7 linked regions of the Xenopus tropicalis genome follow. The protein of the gene in region 2 interacts with the protein of the main gene of each other region in a pairwise test. Links are inferred from orthologs where the notes say so. Each region holds a gene or a part of one and is shown on either strand. Other genes may lie near its edges.

Region 1 (3,500 bases), on a different chromosome or scaffold from region 2:
TTACCTGTGCCTGTGTATAGCCCTGCCTTCTATAACCTGCGCCTGTGTATAGCCCTGCCTTCTGTTACCTGTGCCTGTGTATAGCCCTGCCTTCTGTTACCTGTGCCTGTGTATAGCCCTGCCTTCTGTTACCTGTGCCTGTGTATAGCCCTGCCTTCTGTTACCTGTGCCTGTGTATAGCCCTGATTTCTGTTACCTGTGCCTGTGTATAGCCCTGCCTTCTGTTACCTGTGCCTGTGTATAGCCCTGCCTTCTGTTACCTGTGCCTGTGTATAGCCCTGATTTCTGTTACCTGTGCCTGTGTATAGCCCTGCCTTCTGTTACCTGTGCCTGTGTATAGCCCTGCCTTCTGTTACCTGTGCCTGTGTATAGCCCTGATTTCTGTTACCTGTGCCTGTGTATAGCCCTGATTTCTGTTACCTGTGCCTGTGTATAGCCCTGCCTTCTGTTACCTGTGCCTGTGTATAGCCCTGCCTTCTGTTACCTGTGCCTGTGTATAGCCCTGCCTGTTCTGTATGTCCCCCAGCATGTGCTGCCCCCCTGGTGCCTATGATGGTTCAGGTACAGGTGCCTCTCTATGTAGCAGTGCAGCCTGCACTTTCCCACTTAGCTCTATGTGCTGTTAATGGCGCCTCTCAGTACATTCTCCTAATTACCCTTCCCTATTCCCTGCATATATCAGCAGCAATGCATTCCCTCCCAATGCCTCAGTGGTTCTGACAGTACTACATAAATGGCTACCATGATATAATTACCTCTGTGCCGCTCTACATTATTTTGCCACTAGCACCCTCGTCTTTTTTTGTCCTTGATCTCCGCCAATTAGCGAGCCCCTTGTCCGCTGTGCGCTGTAAATAGCTGGAGAAATAACCTGGAAAATAAATTAATATAAAAATACAATCTGACATCTTTGCTAGTTTGTGTGCCTCGGTAAATGCGAAGATAAAGGCGTTTGTATATGTCCAGCCCCAGTGCATTCTGGTCCCCGGCTCTTCATACATTACTGGTATCTATGTGCTAAGCATTCTATGCTGATGCAGGGCTGTCTCTATGGATATGGATCTATATTTCAGGCTATGTCTGCATTGCATTCCCATCACATGGTGCATTAGTCCCGTTAGCCTCCTGTTGGAAGCAGTGCATGTTGGTAACTTTCTATGGGTGCAACATGTCGCTCATTGCCAGGCATCTACCATTATAGTTCTGTATTTTGGTACATTTTTGTGTATTTCGTATGCACCCTGTCCTGCTGATATTTGGCACCCTGTACCCGGGGCACTCATTTTCTTTCTGGGGGCTTTTAACCCTTTATCCTCCCACTTATGTGGCCACAGTATTGCAAGCGGGGCTCTGGGTGACGCAGCCATGTGTGCTTTGCCAGAGAGGGTTAGAAGCAACTGGGAGCAACCGCCTCTCTACTCTCCCCTCCCTTCCTAAGTTACCTCCCCCTGTGTCTCCCTCTCCTCCCCCTGTCACGTGGATTAGACACGCTTTCTATTCCACCGCCACCCATTATATCATATGTGGATTACCAACACCCTCTACTGGAACGTTTAAAGTTCTGCATACGTCTAAAGATAGGCAGATAGACAGACAGAGATAGAAGATAGATAGACAGATAGATGATAGATAGATAGATAGATAGATGATAGATAGATTGATTTGTTTAAAGTTCTGTGTTCACTCATATTCATTCTTTCTTTCTCCTTTGCTATCTTATAATTGGCTTCCATGCTCTCTGTCTCTCCCTCTGTACTGTCTCACCCAGTCTCCACTACTTCTTGAGTAGTTGCCTTCACCACCTCTCTCTCTCTCTCTGTGCCTTCTCCATGTTACAGCCGGAAGATATCGGGCAGTCTCCCATGGCTTCCATGCCAGATGGGGATAAAGTTGACTTGGAGGCTTTCAGTGAGTTCACCAAAATAATAACCCCAGCAATTACGAGAGTGGTGGACTTTGCTAAGAAGCTGCCCATGTTCTCTGAGGTGAGTGTGCGACACAGAAGAGCAAGTGACCGTATACATCACATAATATATAAGTACCTGTACCTAAATGTTCAGAATACGGATTGTATATGTCCCGCTTCCCACATATACAGTTTGAATATGGCTTTATTGATGGCATTTCCTTTTTTATACCTCACTGATCATGTTTGACCTTTTCATTTTCTCTTTTTCTTCAAGCATGAAATGCCTACCCCCCTTTGTACTGAATCTTCCTTACCGACCCCCCCCCCCCCTGCATGTTTCTCCTCACCCACCCTCTTTCCACCCCACCAGTGACATTTCTTTCCAGTTTATCCTTCCACTAAATGTTCTTCCCCAACCACTCTACCCCCCTCACTGAATGGCCCTCCCTCCCCACTCAGCCCTCCAGTGAATGTTCCACCTTACCCAGCTTTTCATTAAATGTTCCGCCCCAGATAGCCATCTATTATGTGTTCTTCCTCAACTGCCCTTTCATTAAATGTTCCATGCATTTACCCTTACAAGGAATGACCTCGCCATTCACATAGGTACATATTCCCACACACTATACACACACTGAATTTCTGTAACAAAGCCTCCATGTCCTACACACACCTACCCAATATACCTCTCACTTTTTCAATTTTCTTCATACAGTATAGGATCTATTATCCAAAAACCCGAAAGGCCCTGATTTCAGCATTCCCTTTGCCCACAGGATCCTTTTTAAGGACTATACCCTCAGAATGAATACTTAGCCAACAGATAGTGTGGCCCATTAAAGAATCTACCAAACTAGACTATATATCAGTAAATATTGCCCTTTTACATCCTTTCCCTTGAGCTGCCATTTTGTGCTGGTCTGTATACTCACTCAGAGATCACATACTACTAAAAAGTATATTTTCATGAAAATGGTTTATTTAGAGCTACTTTATGCAATATATATTTATAGAGACAAACATTGTTTGTGAGTATAGTTTTCCTTTACACTAACAATGCATTTTGACTCATTTGCCTTTTCTACATTGTACTTAATAACTAATAACTGGTCCTGTTTTCTAAATGTTAGTATGACATGGCATGCCATTGTAAAAGAAGGACCAGTAATCTGAAGAACACCAGGTCCAATGCATTCCGAATAATAGATCTCATACCTCTACCCAACCAGTTGGTCTCCCCTTTGCCACAGATACATATAATGTATAATTTTATTCCCCCCCTGACTCACTGCTCACCCAACCGGTGGGGGACAGCAGTTGGGGAACAGGTCTGGACTGGCAGGGCCCACTTGGTTTTCCCCAGTGGGCCCTGCCTTTACAATTACTTGGCGCACTCAGGAACCTTCATGCATTTCTGTGCTAAATTCCCCTTTTCTCCTTGTTATTAGAAAGGTCCCTTCCCCCTGCATCATGGTTCCTCCTGCTCCTTATAATCAGTGCCTTTCTTCTACATTCAAAAATATGTCCCCTGTCCCACCAGCTGCCTTGTGAAGATCAGATCATCCTGTTGAAAGGATGCTGTATGGAGATC
Region 2 (4,266 bases):
ATACTTCTCTACGTACATAAATTACGTATTTGCGCACTCTTTACAATACTGTGGCTGGCCAGTGGACAATAACTACTGGATGGCTGGAATTCCATAATATTGATCTACAGCCAACATGCCATTATAAATAAACATGCTCCAGTTGACAGATGTTTTAAAGGGTAAACTTTAAATGCAATCCTACAGTAGAGATATTCCATCTACATCGTGAAGATGTTTGCATAGTATGGTTAGAAGTCTGTGCTCACCTGACTTCAGACTGGTGATATACAGGCAGTTCCCCAGAATAATGCCTTTGTTCTGTTGTGTATCCTCGTATGTCCTGTACTGGTTGATTAAAATGAGGGTACTCCGGAGGAGCACCCCTATACTGTCCCCTATCTTCCTGTTGCTCACGAGCCACCGATAGCTGGTAATGCCTTGAAAGCTGTGGGAAGCTATGAGAGGAGCTCATAAGGTTTTGAGGCTTGGCACCATTTCGCTCCAAAGACATCTGCAGCAGACGTTCACTTAAGGACCTGACATGGCCATGTTTCAAATCCTTAAGGGATTGGTCTTGCCGATGACCACCATGTTCCACTGGCTGGGTGTTCTGGGCTGCATAGTACTGTGAGAGTGCCGCTTTGGCTTCTTCATAAGTTGGCAATTCCTCGCCTTTGTGTTGAAATTCATGAGCCTTATACATGGGGTTTTCCAAGTAGAAATAGTCACAATGATACTCCTGGCCTTGGGGTTCTTGCCTTGCTGAAGGAGCCATTTGAATCTCTTCCTGTTCAAGACTTTCTAGGGATGATCTGGGACTTCCACTGCCACCTCCAGCCCGCAGAGCCTGCTCCTGGATAGCCAACAATGTACGGTTATCACTAAGATTCCCATATCTTAGTTGCTCCTGAATGAGACGGTGTAGAACCGTTCCAGAGGAATCCTCGGCTGTTCTCATCCTTAACAAGTAAATAAATCCTCAGTCAAGTGGAAAATATAAGTAATGGATTATAATCCTATTCGACTGTTGGGGAGAGCCTGTGGAACAAGAAAAAAATATATGTTTTAAGACAAAATTCTTCCAAATAACACAAGAAGGATGTGACAGTGATGGTTTTATGTCTCATCATAACATCAAGTCAATGTTCACAATGCTTAAAAGTCATGTTCACAAAGGAACAAAGAACCCTGGAGGATTCTAACTGGATTTTCCAATACAACATACACACGTTCTACTTACTTTGCTAAGAAATAGAGCTTCATTGACTTGTAAGCTGCTGATTTTTAGGCAATTAACTGCTTGTTTTTTTGGAGGTGATGGATATCAGAGGAATGGAATTTCCTCCCTTTACTAATCCCCCCCCTCCTGTCCACACATATACACACACCTCCCTTTCTATGTAGATAAAGCCCACTGTATCTATGGTATGCCCCCCTGCTGCCTCTGCCTTATAGCCCTCCCCTTGAATTCCACATTTCCTAGTTGAAGTTGAACAACCAAAAACAGTGCCAGTATTTATTTAGTTTCAGGCCTCCATAGCAAAGAAAATAAATACTGGGATTCCATCCCTAACCAACAAAAATACGGCATGTAAGAATCTTTTAATGCTGTTAAACACTCCTTGTAGCAGATTTAGTATAAATAGCCATCACAACAAATTCCCCCTTTCACTAAAACTTCTAAAATATATTTATATATATATATATATATATATATATATATATATTTATATATATATATAGGTATGTACATAGGGCCAAACCTGAACGTTCCCTTGTCTCTTACGGGAAAATATTTTCCAGCACGTAGGAGGCGAGAGCACCTTTAGCATAGCTAAGAAGTGACATCACTGGCTTCTTTGTGTTGCAATTGACATTCTTTGTGAATTGCAGCCTTCCCTCTACCCCACACAGGCCCGTTCTAAAAACAAGAATCATAATAAGAATAGAATATAGTTGGTGGATTGCTGCTGCCATGGCTAAGGTGGCAAAACACCTGCTAATCCCCCCTTTGTCTCCTTTAAAATGACATAAATGTTGTCCCTTAGATGACACTTTGTACACAAGGAATATACAATACTCAGGCATCACAGGCCCCCAGAATTTCTCAGGCACCAACAGCACCCTACATAAATACCATTGTGACAAATGACCAGTCATTGGGGGCTTTTATTCTATAGATAAGTCTATAGAGACAAAGACATACGGTATATACACATGCATACATATATAGAAACACAACAGTTTGCACATAGACTAAAGCTGTGGGTGCTGGGAGTTGCTCAGGTACCAACACAAACATTATACATTATCTACATTGAGCATTATTGCATATACAAGAAACTGAATATAAATACAGACAGACATACACAAGAAGTATTTCTATTCATTCTAGAGCAGCAGCTTTTAGATTGCAAGTTCTGCGGGACACCAGCTTAATGAAAGACTGTGTAGCAATGGTACCCATGTATAATAAACAACTGTCCTTATTCTAGCTGCTTGCGAGACATGTGACTCACAGACCGCAGTAATGCGCCGGGGGTACGATATGTACATACAGTGCGCAAATAAAAACAGAAAATAAAGGTAAAAGCAAGCGCAGGGCAGAGTGTAGGAAAGAGCGTACTCACCCGAGCATAGCCAGTGTGTGCGCAGCAGACTGGGCTCTCGGTGCGACTGTGTCGGTGCGACTGTGCCCGTACTTTCCCTGTGCGCAGTGAGCTGTGTGCTGCCTGAGAGCGCTGAGCAGACTGATCCCGCAGCACTCACGCCGCTCTAGTGCTTCAATAGCTTTGCTATGCGCGGAATGTGAGAGTTTCAGGCTCCCCCTGGGATAAAGCTATAACCACACATAACCTTTCTCCCTCCCTCCTCCACTCAGCATTCTGCCCGCCTCCTCTCATACTTTCCCTCCGGGCTGCACTCCAGTGAGCGGCCGCTGGGGGCGGAAGATCTCCCCGCGTTGGAGCCGCTAGCAGAGAGCACGCATTACTGTTGTTATTACATGTTTCTGTATAATGGCGGCTAATTATGAGGCGCCTAATTGTGCTGTCCGCACTGCCTTACAATAACAGGCACGGAAGCTCATAATAACTGTACATCAAACGAGAATACCGCCTGGGTACATCTTTCAGACTTAGAGATCAGATTTTTTTAAATAGAGCTTGTGGTAATTCCTGGTCCCCCCCTTGCTTCCATGGACACAACTGACTTTGCTCCAAGCCAATTTTACCATGATTCTGTTTAATGACACCAGAAGTGGCACCATTTAATATTGCCCCACAATTACAGTGCAGTTGTGGCGCTGCTGCCATAAGGGCAGTTGGGAAATTTACCTCAGGCAGCTGCACACTACAAGTTACTATTGTGCCCCCTCCCCTGATATATCTTCATTCAAACATTCTAATTTTTAAATAGGAATTGCAGCTCTGCTAGAGAAATGCATCCCCCCTGACCTGCTCAGACCCAAAAAACTAAATATTTTTGCCCCCCCCCCCCCCAGTATATCTTCAAGAGCAAATATTCTAATTTTTAAATAGGAATTTCAGATTTGCTAGAGAAATGCATCCCCCCCTGACCTGCTCCGATGCAAAAAACTAAAAGTGTGGGGGTCATATCAACTAGGCCGCTGAGTGGTACTGGGTTCTGCAATGCCCCTGGGTGATACTCTGGGGTACAATGCTGAATTGTGGTGAAAATCAAAATGAATCAGAAATTGATACTATTCCCTCGTTAAGCATAGCCAGCCACTACACATTTTATTTTGGCAGATATTCAGGCACATATACTCTCTGTTAGAAATAGATAATGCCCGCGGACCCCGAGCAGAGTTGGGTAAGAATGCTATACGCAGGAGGTGCTATTGTATTCACTGGCTATACAGCTTGCTATTCCAATTAAGCCATTGTCTCATATCAGTGGCTACAGATCTATGGTGCTCGTTGGCATGGAACCTAGCTTACAACTGAGAAAATAGCCTGTTGTAACATAAAAAAAGCCACTTTCTGCTTGGCCAGGAAGGGCTTCTTTACTGTCCGTCAAGGGGCTGATCTGTTTCCCTTTGATGAAAATAAATGACAGTAGGTCATAGTTTATGGCAGACCTTTCCACAATTATCTCTACGGCTATAACTGGTATGCCCAGACTGAACACATTGCAGCTAAGTGCTAATTTCTTCTCATTTTGCATTTTCTCCCTTCAGGCTCACAAATGCAGTTTTCCACAAAAGTCTCTTAATTGTCAATTTTTTTATTGCCTGTCCATGGGTGATTGCAGGTCTGTGGG
Region 3 (3,548 bases), on a different chromosome or scaffold from region 2:
TTTTATATTCGGATCTTTAAATAAATAAGTCAACATTCGTGCTTTTTTAATTTGTGAGTTTTTTCATGGGAGAGCAGTCCACAAAAAGTACAAAAGTTTGAATTTTGATAAATGGGCCTCCACATGTGTCCGCCATGCCCACATGGGCAATAGCCACATATCTGAGTGACAGCTCTTTGAAAGAGCCTGAACACTGGCATTCATGGAGCTGCCCTAGGGGATGGGGATTTGGGGTGACTTGAATACCTGGTCTCAAGCTACAAAAGGTATTGGTCTGGGAGCTATTAAGCTCTTACTTGAATATAAGTTTCTGATGATAACAATGACAATAATTGCATTAGTAATGCGGTCATTACATTAACATGTTTCTATCAGCTTCTTTCATAGTGGATGCTGGAGTCTGATGTAAAGAAGAACATTGGCAATATAGTTGCGGATCCCAAAGCGCAAACATTATTATTTGTGTCTAATAAATTTCTAATACAAACCCGAGGCACATATTTTTCACCAATACTTTATTTAACTGGTAACTTTCACAATTTATAACAGACTGGCAAAAATAATGTTTAAAGATATTTACAGCCTTGCATTGGCTACCTATCTGTACACAAGGCATAGTGATCATAACACAGTTGTGCACAAAAAAGGACAATATTAAGTAGACATCATTACTTGAACAGTACAGTGAAATGACGTCACAATACCAGTGAAAACTGAGCATTATACAAAACATACCAATTTACTGCAAACTACAATCTTTACAATATGCATATCATGAAAAAATCAGTAGTACTTTTAACTGGAATTGGATGCACAGATTTCCTGGGTTACTATAAGTCTTTTAAGGGTTGCAACCTCAGCAGATAGATTTGCAATACCTTGCTTTAAATATAAGCTCTCTGACTCAGAGGCTTTGAAGACATTGTCTTTTATATCCACAATCCCAGATGTTTTACAAACACTTGGAATTTTATCAAGTTCCCTGTGGTGCCACTGACCTGGTTTTAGTGGCCAGTCCTGTATATTAGTTACTTGAACTGATAAAGGTGACAAAGAAGAATGTACCATGGTTTCACTGTTGTGTTTTTCCAGCTGTAAGTGCCGCTTTGAGGACATATCAATTGGCAGGGTCAGTTTTTGAGTGCTATTAAGTTCGCTTTCCAGTGCTTCTACTTTAATCTGCATAGCCTTTGCTTTTATGCGGAGCTTGTGAGGTAATGCAGAGGAGTTCACTTCTGGAACCTTTATGATTGTCGTGTGCCCGTTTTTAAGTTCAACTGGGGAATGAATGGGACCTTTAGGAACCTGCTGTTCATCCTCACCATCAGACGTCTTTCCTACCACACCTTCATCTGCTTCTGATGTTCTCGGAGAGTTACTCGACGATCTGTTTATGTGAAGAAGTGGAGGAGAATGTGAATACCCAGAAAATGTGTTTCCAATATAATTGGTATATATAGAGCCTTGGAAAGTGTTACTGTCTTCTCTGGCATCTCTAGAAAAGTTCTCCCTTTCCATAGGTTCCTGTTTAATTCTTTGGAAGTTTATATCAGTACTTCTGCAGTTGCTCTGGACAGTGCTCGGCTGAACATGCTCCACGGATGATGCCTCAGACACATCAGACAGAGAGCTTTGTGGGGAGTGCTTGATAACTGAAATACAACTGCTGGTCATTACAGAATGTTCATGATCACTGTTATACGACATTACATTTGGTTTGGAAGATGAGTATTCCTGAAAATACATAGCAGTGGAGGTTGTGACCTTTTGTATTTCTTGGGCATAGGAAGCAGAACTAATCAAGCCAAATTTAAGTTTTAAAGACAGCAGTTCTGTTTTCAGACTGGCATTCTCCTCTCCTAGTGCAATAAGTTTATTTTCCAAAACCATGTCATTTAATCTCCGTTTTTCTCTCGACCTTTTTGCAGCTTCATTGTTTTTCCGTCTTTTTTCCCAGTACATAGCATCTTTCTTTTCATCTGGGATAAATTCCCTTTTCCTCCGACATGAGGAGTTTTTGTTTTTCGCTGGTGCCCCTTCGCTGTACAACATATCATTGCTGGAGTCCATGGATTCTGACATGTCTGGTATGTTTGAACTAAGAACAAGAATATTTTCCATATTGTTGCGTGAATCTGCACATTCCTGCTCTCTTTTAATGGTTGGCATTTTTCTCAGCTGCATGAGAAGGAAGTGGAGTTAGAAACCTTCTGCAGCTCCTAAAAAGAGCAATTTCACGTCAACTTGAAGCTTGTAATTAGATTAAATTCCATCTGCTGGTAATATTTCCTTCATGGCCTCATGACAGCCAGGTTGTAACCATTTCCGTTATATGCTCAGGAACAAAAATTTGACCTGGAATTAAAGAATAAATAATTAAGTTGTGTTTACATACTATTAGGAAACAGAAAACTAGTATTGAAGGTAACCATAAAAGTCAGCATTAGAAAGAACATTAAGGTAATTCTATGTTTTATATCTCAGTAAAGACCTCATTTACAGTGCACCAAAGGTCACATGGTTGAATTCCTCTGAGATTTGCAGAACTATTGGTTTGCTAATATAACCACAATTACATGCACTTCTGCAATCTTACAAACCATGTTCTAAAAGTCCTGTCTGTGGTTCATATACTACAATGATCTGGAAAAATAATTACGTCATGAAAAGAGATTTTTTTACTACTTAGGGCTTTCTGCTTGTGACATTGCATGGCTTTTGTCTGAAATTGCAGGGAGCAAGAGGAACAAAGACCTAAATGATTAATTAGTACTAAAAACTGAAAAAGAAATGGAAAAACATGCGGTAAGAGAAAATCCCCTACGACTTAAAAAACTCCATATATTGTAAACTCAGCCAACTATAAATAATCCCTCCTTTAAAACAAAACCAGTGTAAACAAATGTATTAAAAAGATATAGAAAAATTAAGGGTGATTTATAACAATCAACAATAATTTAACAAACAAGGGTTACAAAATAAAAAAGAACATAACTGTAACATTCCACAACTAGCGAGGCCGGTCTACAGATGTTTCTTACTTTACACGCTTACAATCCATGCAGTCCTATTATTATTATTAACATTTATTTATAAAGCGCCAAAATATTCCGCAGTGCTGGATTATAAAGCTGCCTACAAATATAAATATAATACTGTATATACATTTAGGTCATGGGAAGGATGGGAACAGGTCACATGAGAATACAGCCAGTCTACCTCAATTCTTGGCAATGAAGTGGATTTATATGCCAATTGCATCAGGCAGTTAGGGGAGAATTGGAAAGAATGGTTATTTGCTTTTTTTTGACACCCCTGAAAACCCAGCTGAAGGTCAGAAAATTGGGTGGAAATGTATTTGTTGTCCTAGATATTCTTGAAACTATTTACACTTTATCAAAAAATTAAAGGATCTTCAGTGGCCAGTCAAAAAGGGCCAAAGTAATTGGGACACAGCCCCCAGATTTAAAAGGCAAATCAAGCAACAATATCCAAATGTATCCCAAACTCAACACAAAAATTCAAAAGAAAAATCACATTTTGACTCA
Region 4 (3,500 bases), on a different chromosome or scaffold from region 2:
AACTTGTTTGCAATACACATACTGGTTGTATCGTTTGTACAAGTTCCCTGATCAGCGCACATGCACAGATGATATCAGATGTTTCGCCGACGCACAGATTAAATCGAACCGGTTCGTGACTGCTTAGATACAGTGCACAGAAGCACAGACAGAGTTAAAGAGATTAACCCTTACAAAGACAATGTTATGACAGATGTTTACTTTCATGAATGGGAAGCAAATACTCAGACCATCATAGCAGTAAAAATTCAGGTGCGTCATAGGCTTAATTTTGTATGATAATTTTTTGTTACTTTATAAACTGGTTAAAACACACTTAGTTCAGTATTGTGTGTGCTAGTCTTTTTTTTAATCTTATTTTTTGTGAGGATTTGTGAGACGTTCAGACATTCCCACCACAGACCTGCAAAAGACTGATCATGGTTAGTACCTTTTTAGGATTAGTAAAATAAGCAGCTTTGAGATTCAGCACAAAGCAATGTGACACTACACTTTTCTAATCATTTTTGCTTATGAGATGAACATAATCTTACTTTCTGTTGCCTGTGGGTAGGATGGCTGTGGAACTCTTAAGCTCTTCATACACATCAGCTCCACTGGAGGGAAATGCAGAGTACTGTGCCAGAAGAACACGCCTCACTGCCATTAATGTCTGAAAATACAGTACAATTCTAAACACACTTTTAAAATAGAGTGACTCTTTTTAGTTCCCTTTAATTAAGGTGAGAAGCTGGAAGTTTCCAATTTGCCCGCAAACCATCACAAAGGGAAAAAAAACACATGGTATATGAAGTGTAGGACAAATTACTTTGTGATTATATAATTGCTTAGCTCTAGGGGGCAGATTTACTTTAACATTCCTCATTTTTTTCAAATTTGAATAAACTTATTTTCACTGTCTTACATTTCTAAAAAGTCTGAACTGAAAAAGTTTGCATTGGAAAAGTTGCAGAAGAGTCATGAAAATTCCCAATATTTCGACTTGTCCTATGAATACTGCAACTTTTTCAAATTGTCAAACAAAAAAACAGCATCAAAAATCCCAAACTTTTAAACTTTCAAAGCAAAAGAAGGATCATCCAGGGAAGGGACATATGCCATTGACTACATGATCTTGGCAAGTTTTAGCTAGTGAATTGCTAGATTTAGATTTTTAGCCGTTTTGACGCATAGTAAATCTTGGAAAATCACAAACTTTTTACCTGCAAATTTTAGCACTAAAAGTCTAAATGGAAAAAAAAATCTGACAGTTAGTTAATGGCCCCAGTCTAATGCAACCTTTTAGTACAGAATCTTGTTAAAGGCAAGCAATTACTGTAGATCTAGGAATACTGCAATAATAGACGCCAGACAAAGTAGTCCACATAGTAACACTGTAATTTAGGAGCCATTTATACTTCTGCCAAGTGGGTCTTGAAACTCTGACTTCTCTATCGCATACACTGAAAAAAAGAACTGATTATGCCTTTCTACCCAAATTATTACTATTTTTAATGAAGCCCCAGTCTTAACCTGTATGGGATTGGTCTTTGAAATTTGGTCAGTCCCTTATTGGTTTTCTTTACCTTTTTTGATTGTTGTTTTTCAACAATTGTTGAATTGTTATATTTTTTAAAAGAAGCATTGTTGCCCTCTGACCTATTCCTACTAGCTTCCGTACTTCTGATTAAAGCCATATAGGGTGGTCCTTAATACTCTTACTGTGTAAGAGTAAACAGGAAAGATTTAGCAGCATTTTAAATGAAAACCATTACTTAGTTTTTAGCATAAAACTATGCACTGAGGTACTGATCTTAATGTGTTTGTTGACCTAATGTATATTTATTTTTTGCAATAAACATTAAAGTGGACCTGTCACCCAGACATAAAAAGCTGTATAATAAAAGCCCTTTTCAAATTACACGTAACCCAAAGTCATTTTTTTATTAACACATCTATACCCATTATATAAGCATTTTAAAGCCCCAGCTGTCAATCATATATTGCCTGACCCACCTCTATGCCTTAGGCATAGGGGTGGGGCAGACAGTTACTTTCACTTTCAATTCAGAACTTCTTAGATATCACTGCACTCCTCACATTCCCCCTCCCTCCTCACCATCTAATTGTGTAACCAATGCATAGATATATGTATCAGGTCCCCCCATACTGGCACAGAAACAAGATTTTAGCAGGATACACAGCTTGCCTTAATAACAGTGTCCACAAAATGGAGCCTGCCTGTTTTCTGCAATTGTGAATTCCAGTGCTGAAGGAAATAAGTTTAAAATAATTTATAAAGTGTAATTGAAGTTTATTTTGCTTGATAAACACAATAGAAAACAATTTGTAATTATTTCTTAGGGTGACAGGTCCCCTTTAAATGATGTAACGTTATGGTCCTCAGAGTTTATATTACTTGTACATTTGCTATATGTTCTGGGTTGTTAGAGATCATTAGACCCATTATAACATGATTCCCAGTTTCATCCTAACAATCTGTTACATAAAATGGTAAATTAAGAAGTTTATAAACTTGTTTTCATTAACTGTCCTGACAGTACTGTTGCCCCAGTCAACATCTAGGTAGTTAAACTCTCCCGTTATCATTTCATGCCCCAAACTAGCAGCCTTTTATATCTGCAACAGCAGCTTAGCCTCTTCACTTAAGGTCCGATTCTAGCTGCCGATATCAGTCCCTTTAGACTGATTCGGCAGCTAATCGGCCCGTGTATGAGCACTATATATCTGGCCTGAAATCGGGCAGATCTCGGTCAGGCAGGTTAAAAAATCTAGTCGGATCCAACTTTGCCTATACCCGCCGTAATAATTGGATCATTTGGCCCCAGGGCCAAATGATCGAATTAGCCTGGATTCTCCCGATATCGCCCACCCGTAGGTGGGGGATATCGGGTGAAGATCCGCTCGCTTGGCGACATCGCCAAGAGAGCGGATCTTAAGGTGTATGGGCACCTTTACACAAGAGGTCTGTAGCATACCCCTACAATTAATTTGCCTAAGGCTTTACAATCTGTTCAAATTGTCCCCATTGACTTCTCTGGCAATTAACTAAATTAACTCATGCAAGTACCTGTCAGGCAATTTTACTTAGAGACATAGCAGTCTGCATTTTTGTAATAAGATATGCAGATTAGATAAGCAAATCAAACAAAATCTAAGAGAATTTTAAAGAAAAAATATACACCACCTTGTATGACAGGGAGCATTTTCGTGCAAGCTCTTCCAAATCAGAAGCAACCAGATCAATGACTAAAAGTTAGAGACAAAGTATTATAAAAATATCAAGACTGGCTTATTGAACTCCATCATTTATATTGTTTAGTATTAGTTATGTTAAAGTTTTCCATTAAATAAAGAACAGTTTGTAATGTTAACAAGCTGGGTGTAAAAATAAGAGTCTACAGGTATTAATATGTGTCTAATTTCTAGTCTTTTTGTTTGTACACAATTACAGTTAGACAATATGCAGGGTACAAAAGTTACAAAACCAATTAAATATA
Region 5 (2,875 bases), on a different chromosome or scaffold from region 2:
TGCAAACAAAGCAAAGTGGATGACAAATCTTGTGGGATATTACACAATACCACTATGCAGCTGAACACATATGTTTTAAGTTGTTATGAACGTGCTACGGGTTGCAGTAAAATGTCTTTCCTCTGCAATTTGCAGGGAAGCAGGTAGTAACAGGCTTCTTTGCATTTCTGCAGATGTTGTGCCCTATTTTTTTTTTTTTTTTTATTAATACAGTATAAGGTGCAAAGCCATGGGGCAATCGGGTGACACTTTTCTGACACAAAAAATGCTTTCTTTGTACAGGTTGGCCAGGCACCGGAAGATTATTGAGCCTGAAGTAGTTGGGGAAAGTGAATCTGAGCCTGAGCCAGCAGAGGATTGGCGCATGGATCGAGAGGACACTAGTGAGGAGGAAGAGGAAGAAGTAGATGATGAGGTAATCTATGATATAACCTTGCCAAATAACCTATGTTATAATAAAGTACATTCAGTTCTAATTAAAACTGAAGGACTATTTTCAATTTCATTTTTCATTTCTGTTTCTGCTTGTTATGGGCAAGAATGATTTTTAGTAAAATTATACTAGCTAGAGTAAGATCTACTAATGGCTTAGAAAACGTGTTGTTGAAATAAATGCAACAAAACCATGTTTCTCTTGGTATAATGCATTGAAGTCACCTTTTCTATGGCAAACTATAACCTAATGCAGTTCTGTCCAACTTCTGTGGCACCGAGGGCCGGAATTTTTCTGGCCTCTGTGGTGGAGGGCCGCTAATGGAAGCTAGTTTTGGCCACTCCCCTTTTTAAAACCACACCCACTTGAAACCACACCCATGTTATCGCATAACCATAGCCATATTAATGGTGGTAGTACAGCAAAAACCTGCCATACTCTGCCTTCCCTACCCTGCCTGTGTATGCCATACTCTGTATGCCCTATGCTGCCTGTGTGTGCCATACTCTGCCTTCTCTACCCTGCCTGTGTGTGCGATACTCTTCCTTCCCTACCCTGCCTGTGTGTGTGGCACACACAGGCAGCATAGGGCAGGCAGAGTATGGCAAACACAGGCAGCCTACAGTGACACAATGCTGCCACTGCTCCTACAGTCTGCACAATAACTATATATTAAAAAACTTTTTAATTGCAGTACCACCTCAGTATATGTTCTTTTTATAGTGTGCAGGGTTTATTTTTGGGTGTGAACAGGTGAACAATGTGGGTGATTACAGCCTGAGCCTGAGGTGTGAACAATGCATGGGAAGAACAATGTAGGGATTAAAAGGTGTGAACAACACAGGGGATTACATTTTTAAACAATACAGGGGGTTTACAGCCTGAATCTGAGTTGTTAACCATGAAGGGGGCCAGTACTGATACCATTTAAAGCTTACACAAAGTTAAGTTATCAAAGCAGCCAGACAGGTGGGGGGCCACACAGAGGGGGGTCGCGGGCCGCCAGTTGGACAGCACTGACCTAATGTGTTAGACCTTGATTTGATAACTACACTGAAAGACTCTGCACTGGGTTATTTTGCCCACTGCTGTCTTAGACCATTGACTTACATTTTTCTACGGGTCACAATATATAATTGGTAGTAAGTGAAATAATTTCATAAAAATAAGATTGGGTATACTTGTTACCAAGGCTAGAAATATTCTTTCTTCTGGGCTTAATAAGAACAGTCTGTTTTACATCCCATTTACCAAATGTATAGTTCCATGGTTGTCCATTTGTCATGTCAGTGGTTCCTGTTGATTCCAAAAATATTTTTGTTGCTCGCTTTGTAATCAGGAAATAGAGCGGCGCCGTTCCATGATGCGTCAAAGAGCTGAAGAGAGAAAAAACGATGAAATGGAAGTGATGGAGGTAGAGGATGAGGGCAGATCAGGGGAAGAATCGGAATCCGAGTCTGAATATGAAGAATACACTGACAGTGAAGATGAAATGGAACCGCGACTCAAGCCTGTGTTTATCCGAAAGTAAGTGGTTTTCTAGTATGCCTTAAATGTGGGTTCACCTTTAAATTGACTTTTATTATGATTCAAAGAATGCCATGCTAAGTCCATTTGCATTTGGTCACTATGTATTACTGGTTTTATGTTGCTATTTTATAGCCCATCCTTTTGACATGTTAACTGCTATCTGGTTGAGGTTTTGACTTACACAAATTACAGTGATGTGAGGGGCATGCTAGATGATGATTAAGAGATTTAAATTGCTAATTGTGCATTTTTGCAGGATACATTTTATATGAAGAACAGAGTGCCGCACACACAGGATCTTAAAAAAGAACAAAAAATCTTTATTAATCCATTTTAATGGATTGGATTAATAAAGATTTTGTGTTCTTTTTTAAGTCCCTGTGTGTGCAGCACTCTGTTCTTCGTTTACATAAACTTCTGGCCAGCACCTGGGGCAGTTGATTGTTAATTATAATTAATTTTCTTAGGCTTGGTTTCTCTAGCCCAAGGCACAGCTTCTGCCTGTGTTGTCTCAACTGTGACATTTGACTTGCGGTATGGCAAAGACCAGAAAGCCTTGCAAAGTAGCACCAGCAAGTTGTGCAGTGTTCTGCAGTGTCCTATATATAAAGTTGGGTTATAGAATAAAAATGGGATCGGAGGACCCTAGCCTCAAGAGCTTACAATCTTAAGGCCATACTTCCAAAATCCCTGTTGTTTAAAAACTGTCTGATTTTAAAGTATATTAAAATATAAGCAGGCTTAGGACTTCCCTTTAATTTCAATTGTATCGGGAAATTTTATTTGTAGAAATCACATTTTTTCTTTTTTCTTTAGACCCCTAACACCCCCTTTGTGTTTCAGCATTTATTCATTTAGTTCATAGCAAGATCAGTAGTACAAGTCACAATTACTGTAATGTACGTTCTCCCA
Region 6 (2,752 bases), on a different chromosome or scaffold from region 2:
TCTAGCTTCCATTATCTCCTTTCTCAGTTCCTCAAGATCTTTACGCAGCTTTCTGTTTTGCTCTTCTGCTACCTCAGACCTTCCTTCTAGCTCAGATATTCCTGCTAGCTTGCCTGCTAGCTCTTGTCTTGCTTCCTCCAGTCGGAGTTCTGCTTCCTGACGGTGGTCTCGTTCTCCTTGCAAGAGTCGCTGAAGCTCTTTTAGCATAATGACATGGTCTGTTTGCTCCTGAGCACGGTCATGTTGCTGGCTAATTAATCTGGCCTTGGTCTCTGCAAGTTGCTCCTGAATGCTCTGAATTTCTTCCTGCAATTTGGTCCTCTCTTGCACAAAACTCAGCATCAACTCCTCCATTTCCTGCTTTGCATTCCTCTTATCTGCTTGATAAGAAGCCTCCATGCGAGATTTTTCTTGTGTAACTGTTGCCAGAGCACTATAAGTTTAAAGAAAAAAAAAAAAAAAAAAGAAAAAAAACCTCATAACAAGACTTAAAGAAATATTTTTTTTTTAGCCTCAGTATAAAGTAAAAATAAAGTCAAATACCTATTACTACTAACCAATTACATTTTTGAACAAAAATATGAAAAACACAGGTTGTTACAACTGCCCGGGCACCAAAAATATACAGTATTTGTTTATTATATCAAAAGTCACGTGTTTTGTATAACATGGAGTACTAGATGCATGAGTTAATATACTTAAATTGGTAGTTTACCCTTATGTTTAATGTTAGTATATTTTTTAGATATGTCTAATTCTTAGCAACTTTTCAACTTGTCTGCATTTTCTATAGGCTTTGAAATGGGGGTCACTGACCCTGTTGGCCAAAAAAACACTATTGTTCCTGTCCTGTTCTTCTTACAGTCTCACATTCAAAGCACTGTCTGGTTATTTGGTAAAATTGCACCTTAGCAGCCAGATAGCTGCTAAAACGCCAAAAAGCTTATTTTTTTCATAAGATACAAAGGATTTAAACTTTAACCTGCTGTTAAGGGAAAAGGTAAGCAAATATATATGCCACTGTGAGGCAGGAAAATAGTTGACAGACTGTTTAATTTGAATATAGTAAAAAAAAAAAAAAAAAAAAAAAAAAGAAACATGCATTGAAATAGATTTGAGTCTATGTTTGTTACCTCTACACAAATATATGCTTAATGTATATATTTATATGCTTGGTATCCCTGTATTTAGAAGTTACATGCCAAACATATATGCTGGGAATCCACCTACTCAGAGTACAAATATAAAATAAATGATTTTAACCAATGGCTTGGGACCCAAATATGGAGCCTCACACTGTTCAAGATTGATCTGTGTGATAACAGTGAATAAAGTTGGATATACTGCTACAGTAGAAAATAGTCAGCAAAACAATGTATATAATTCTAAACCAATTTTAGTCATGAAGCTGGTTCTTCAAACTAATTTTTCGTCACTTGAGAAAAAAGGTTAAAGAAACATGCACTGGTAACAATTGTGCGTTTGCTTTAGAAACACTACTAGTTAATTTAAACGATAGATATCCCCCACTGCTACACAGCAGCAGCTTTGTTTATATAAAGCATTATTTCCATCATATTTTCATTCCTCTTAATTTTTCATAAACATACATATGATATGCATAAACAAGCTAAACTGTTCCTTGAGTTCTTTCTATATTTAAAGGAGAAGGAAAGGCTGAGTCACTTGGGGTGCCAAAATGTTAGGTACCCCCAAGTGACTTAGATCGCTTACCTTTTACCCCGGGCTGGTGCCCCTGTACAGAGAGAACAGCACCAGCCCGGGGTAGCAGCGAGCGCTTCCTACTTCCTATTCGCTTGCGCGTGCATGCGCAGTAGAGTGAAAAGCCGAACTTAAAAACAAAGTCGGCTTTTTACTCTACTGCGCATGCACCGGCCGACGGATTTCACTGGGAGAAGAAAGAGGAAGGAGGAAGCGCTTCCTACAGGTACCCTGGGCTGGTGCTTTTTTCTCCTAACAGGGGCACCATCCCAGGGTACAAGGTAAGCGATCTAAGTCACTTGGGGATGCCTAACATTTGGGCACCCCCAGGTGACTTAGCCTTTCGTTCTCCTTTAAAACACAGTTAAAGGGGTTGTTACATGGTTTTGTTTGTTTGACACTTAGCCCTTTATCTTTAATATAAACAAACTTTGTATGTCACAAATTTAAAAAATTAATAAATTAAGTGTAATAAGGGGAACAACCTATTTAAGTTACATACCTAGTTAGTGTAGAAAGCTGGTTTTTCAGCTGCACCATCTTACGGTCAGTCTCAACTGCTGTGGCTTGACCTCCCTCTCCACTGGCAGTGCTGACCCCACTCTCTGAACCACTGGCCTCCTCTATTCCACCTCGTTGAGAAGGATCTGGTCTCTCATCCTCACTCGTCTCACCTCCTCTAGCACTGGGAAGACTACCTGCTGTGTCCACACTATCCTCACTGTGTATGGAATGTTGGTCATCATGTGCCTCTTCAGATTCTGAGAAAAGAGTGCCTGGCTCCTGAGTAGTGGAAAGTACATGGAGACTGGCCTCAAGGGCCTCCTTTTCTTTCTGAAGACTCTTGTATGCTCGCACAACATCCTTCAGTCGACCCTGGTACTGTTGTAGTTGCTTCCGTTGAGTTTCTACCTGCTCCTGAAGTTCCTTCTTACTTGGGCCACCTCCAAAACTCATGCCTAATTTCTCCATGGTAACAGATCAGCTTAGCATTCTGATTTTTATATAAAAGTAGAAGAAAAGAGGGAGT
Region 7 (3,500 bases), on a different chromosome or scaffold from region 2:
TTTCTAAATGTATATTTATTTATTTATCAAGATATTTCTGAAATTAATAAGGATATACTAAAAACCTAGTTTTATTGGAGTCTTTGTTTTGTCCAGATGTTTGCAATTGCTGCGGCAGTTTATTTGCCCTCTGACAAAGGGACACACGGGCTGGTAACTGGGACTGTGGAAACAAACTCACAGGAGTGTTCTCATCTTGAAATGAGTTGCTTATTTTGGAGCAATGGGCTTTGGGTTAATTATGTGCACGCAGACTACACCCAAGGGAGCGGCTCGCTTCTGCCCTGTTTCTAGTTGTGACACAGAGTGGAGAGACAGGTTTACTAATAAAAGAAAGGGCATGCCTAATGTAACACCTGGAATTAGAGCCCTTCTACACCCAAAGGTTCTAAAGTAGGGGCCCCCCATCTGCTCAGCAGTACTGAAAGTAGGGGCACCCCATCTGCTCAGCAGTACTGAAAGTAGGGGCACCCCATCTGCTCAGCAGTACTGAAAGTAGGGGGCCCCCATCTGCTCAGCAGTACTGAAAGTAGGGGGCCCCCATCTGCTCAGCAGTACTGAAAGTAGGGGCCCCCATCTGCTCAGCAGTACTGAAAGTAGGGGGCCCCATCTGTTCGGCAGTACTGAAAGTAGGGGGCCCCATCTGTTCAGCAGTACTGAAAGTAGGGGGCCCCATCTGCTCAGCAGTACTGAAAGTAGGGGGCCCCATCTGTTCAGCAGTACTGAAAGTAGGGGCCCCCATCTGTTCAGCAGTACTGAAAGTAGGGGGCCCCATCTGTTCAGCAGTACTGAAAGTAGGGGGCCCCCATCTGTCAGCAGTACTGAAGTAGGGGCCCCCTCTGTTAGCAGTACTGAAAGTAGGGCCCCCAGCAGTATGAAAGTAGGGGGCATCTGTCCAGCAGTACTGAGGGGGGCCCCATCTGTTCAGCAGTACTGAAGTAGGGGCCCCATCTGTTCAGCAGTACTGAAAGTAGTACTGAAAGTAGGGGGCCCATCTGTTCAGCAGTGAAAGTAGGGGGCCCATCTGTACTGAAAGTAGGGGGCCCCATCATACTGAAAGTAGGGGGCCCTGTCTGTCAGCAGTATGAAAGTAGGGGCCCATGTTCAGCAGTACTGAAAGTAGGGGCCCCATCTGGCAGTACTGTAGGGGCCCCAGCAGCCAGCTGAAAGTACAAAGTAGGGCCCATCTGTTCAGCAGTACCCATCTGTTCAGCAGTACTGAAAGTAGGGGGCCCCATCTGTTCAGCAGTACTGAAAGTAGGGGGCCCCATCTGTTCAGCAGTACTGAAAGTAGGGGCCCCCCATCTGTTCAGCAGTACTGAAAGTAGGGGCCCCCCCATCTGTTCAGCAGTACTGACAGTGGGGGGCCCCACCTGTTCAGCACTAAATGCATTCACCTTCATTTAGCACCAAAGGCACGTAATGCAAAACTGCTTCCCCTGATATTAAAGGCCAAATCAAACAAACTGCAGTGAAACCAATAGAAATGTAATTTCCTTACCTGGTGCACCATGAGAGACTGAACTTGTCTTTTCAGAACCTGCATTCGAGCGGTCGTGACCACGGAGCGGACGTCGGGCACCACGCTCTCGCTGAGAATTTCACTGATGAGCCGGTGGTTCCTCTGGAAACGGGCAGCGGCGCTGTGCTTCATGGAGAAACCATCGTCATAATCTGGGGGGGACAGTAAGGGAGAAGTTCAGGGTCTGAAGCTGCAGGGGAATGTTAGTGAGAAATGGTTCAGCCCAAAAGGCTATGGGTCCAAAGCTCCCAGCTCAGTTAGCCGTCACTAGGGTAGTGCTTACCCTAGCAACTACAGTGGTTTGAAAGACAGATGGAAAGATTCTCATTAAAAGGCAGCGCTCACCCTAAAAACCAGAGAGAGAGATGTGCTCTGATAAATACACATCAAAGTGTTTGGTCTGTAATGATTGGGGGCATATATATGACCCCGGCCCCTCCCTAGTTCCTCCATAGCTGGTACAAACAAAATACATTCTATCATCTGGAAACCCATTGTTCAGGAAGCTCTGAATTACAGAAAGGCTCCACTATAATCAAATAATTCTAATTTTTTTTTAAATGATTTCCAATAAAACAGTACCTGTACTTGATCCCAACTAAGATATAATTACCCCTTATTGGGGGCAGAACAGCCCTATTGGGTTTATTTCATGGTTAAATGATTCCCTTTTCTCTGTAATAATAAAACAGTACCTGTACTTGATCCCAACTAAGATATAATTACCCCTTATTGGGGGCAGAACAGCCCTATTGGGTTTATTTAATGGTTAAATGATTCCATTTTCTCTGTAATAATAAAACAGTACCTGTACTTGATCCCAACTAAGATATAATTACCCCTTATTGGGGGCAGAACAGCCCTATTGGGTTTATTTAATGGTTAAATGATTCCCTTTTCTCTGTAATAATAAAACAGTACCTGTACTTGATCCCAACTAAGATATAATTACCCCTTATTGGGGGCAGAACAGCCCTATTGGGTTTATTTCATGGTTAAATGATTCCCTTTTCTCTGTAATAATAAAACAGTACCTGTACTTGATCCCAACTAAGATATAATTACCCCTTATTGGGGGCAGAACAGCCCTATTGGGGTTTATTTCATGGTTAAATGATTCCCTTTTCTCTGTAATAATAAAACAGTACCTGTACTTGATCCCAACTAAGATATAATTACCCCTTATTGGGGCAGAACAGCCCTATTGGGTTTATTTCATGGTTAAATGATTCCCTTTTCTCTGTAATAATAAAACAGTACCTGTACTTGATCCCAACTAAGATATAATTACCCCTTATTGGGGCAGAACAGCCCTATTGGGTTTATTTCATGGTTAAATGATTCCCTTTTCTCTGTAATAATAAAACAGTACCTGTACTTGATCCCAACTAAGATATAATTACCCCTTATTGGGGGCAGAACAGCCCTATTTAGATTTCTATTCAATATATAAAGGGTAAATAAAACGAAGGCAGTGAGGAACATTGCTAGGTTCCATACTGAGCCGGATCACGTTGCTGACACGGAGTTATAGTCAGACAAACAAGGACTATTAAGGACGCTGCAATTAAAGTGTTTGGTAACACGCAGGAACACGCTCTGCTTGAATAAAGATAACGCCTAGAAATTATACCTGTGTAATCACAACATTCCCGAGTCAAAATGTGCCAGCTGTTAGATTTACTCAGGGCGAGTGCCCGGCATTCTACTGGCGACAAAAATATGCGCTGCAACTCCCAGCTACTGACTCATGTGCCCCTCTGACAACTGAGGCTATTGGGGACTGCTTAGAGCTCTAACTGACAGGACTTTAACCCCCATATGTAATAAAAAGCACTAAGTTTGCCCAGAAGCAGTAACCCATAGCAACCAATAAGATGCTTGCTTTTAAACAGGTGACCCACAAATTCTACCTATTCTTAGATTGAGATTTATCTCTCCTTTATAATACAGACATTGGAGCGGTTATCCAGAAAGT

The links.
Region 1: the proteins of amotl2 (region 2) and thra interact in binary tests that used the Homo sapiens proteins (3 or more experiments, as listed by UniProt). The two-hybrid records come from large-scale screens. The link is inferred for Xenopus tropicalis from reciprocal best matches to the Homo sapiens genes AMOTL2 and THRA.
Region 3: the proteins of amotl2 (region 2) and nfil3 interact in binary tests that used the Homo sapiens proteins (3 or more experiments, as listed by UniProt). The two-hybrid records come from large-scale screens. The link is inferred for Xenopus tropicalis from reciprocal best matches to the Homo sapiens genes AMOTL2 and NFIL3.
Region 4: the proteins of amotl2 (region 2) and rad51d interact in binary tests that used the Homo sapiens proteins (3 or more experiments, as listed by UniProt). The two-hybrid records come from large-scale screens. The link is inferred for Xenopus tropicalis from reciprocal best matches to the Homo sapiens genes AMOTL2 and RAD51D.
Region 5: the proteins of amotl2 (region 2) and mfap1 interact in binary tests that used the Homo sapiens proteins (3 or more experiments, as listed by UniProt). The two-hybrid records come from large-scale screens. The link is inferred for Xenopus tropicalis from reciprocal best matches to the Homo sapiens genes AMOTL2 and MFAP1.
Region 6: the proteins of amotl2 (region 2) and gcc1 interact in a two-hybrid assay, tested with the Homo sapiens proteins (2 studies listed by BioGRID and IntAct). The two-hybrid records come from large-scale screens. The link is inferred for Xenopus tropicalis from reciprocal best matches to the Homo sapiens genes AMOTL2 and GCC1.
Region 7: the proteins of amotl2 (region 2) and smarce1 interact in binary tests that used the Homo sapiens proteins (3 or more experiments, as listed by UniProt). The two-hybrid records come from large-scale screens. The link is inferred for Xenopus tropicalis from reciprocal best matches to the Homo sapiens genes AMOTL2 and SMARCE1.

Annotation. Positions count from the first base shown.
Region 1 is NC_030686.2:9,068,652-9,072,151, reverse strand, and holds part of thra (thyroid hormone receptor alpha), read left to right. Parts: intron 1-1,838; coding exon 1,839-1,985; intron 1,986-3,449; coding exon 3,450-3,500.
Region 2 is NC_030681.2:130,254,009-130,258,274, forward strand, and holds the start of amotl2 (angiomotin-like protein 2), read right to left. Parts: upstream 2,801-4,266; 5' UTR 2,613-2,800; intron 1,306-2,612; exon of another isoform or gene 1,223-1,305; intron 1,021-1,222; 5' UTR 941-1,020; coding exon 249-940; intron 1-248. UniProt on the Homo sapiens protein: Regulates the translocation of phosphorylated SRC to peripheral cell-matrix adhesion sites. Required for proper architecture of actin filaments.
Region 3 is NC_030677.2:138,768,826-138,772,373, forward strand, and holds nfil3 (nuclear factor interleukin-3-regulated protein), read right to left. Parts: upstream 2,323-3,548; 5' UTR 2,185-2,322; coding exon 796-2,184; 3' UTR 501-795; downstream 1-500.
Region 4 is NC_030678.2:94,393,672-94,397,171, forward strand, and holds part of rad51d (DNA repair protein RAD51 homolog 4), read right to left. Parts: intron 3,250-3,500; coding exon 3,188-3,249; intron 653-3,187; coding exon 534-652; intron 1-533. UniProt on the Homo sapiens protein: Involved in the homologous recombination repair (HRR) pathway of double-stranded DNA breaks arising during DNA replication or induced by DNA-damaging agents. Bind to single-stranded DNA (ssDNA) and has DNA-dependent ATPase activity.
Region 5 is NC_030679.2:107,684,031-107,686,905, reverse strand, and holds part of mfap1 (microfibrillar-associated protein 1), read left to right. Parts: intron 1-282; coding exon 283-415; intron 416-1,772; coding exon 1,773-1,960; intron 1,961-2,875. UniProt on the Homo sapiens protein: Involved in pre-mRNA splicing as a component of the spliceosome.
Region 6 is NC_030679.2:89,152,956-89,155,707, reverse strand, and holds part of gcc1 (GRIP and coiled-coil domain-containing protein 1), read right to left. Parts: intron 2,717-2,752; 5' UTR 2,695-2,716; coding exon 2,225-2,694; intron 434-2,224; coding exon 1-433. UniProt on the Homo sapiens protein: Probably involved in maintaining Golgi structure.
Region 7 is NC_030686.2:8,354,895-8,358,394, reverse strand, and holds part of smarce1 (SWI/SNF-related matrix-associated actin-dependent regulator of chromatin subfamily E member 1), read right to left. Parts: intron 1,675-3,500; coding exon 1,502-1,674; intron 1-1,501. UniProt on the Homo sapiens protein: Involved in transcriptional activation and repression of select genes by chromatin remodeling (alteration of DNA-nucleosome topology).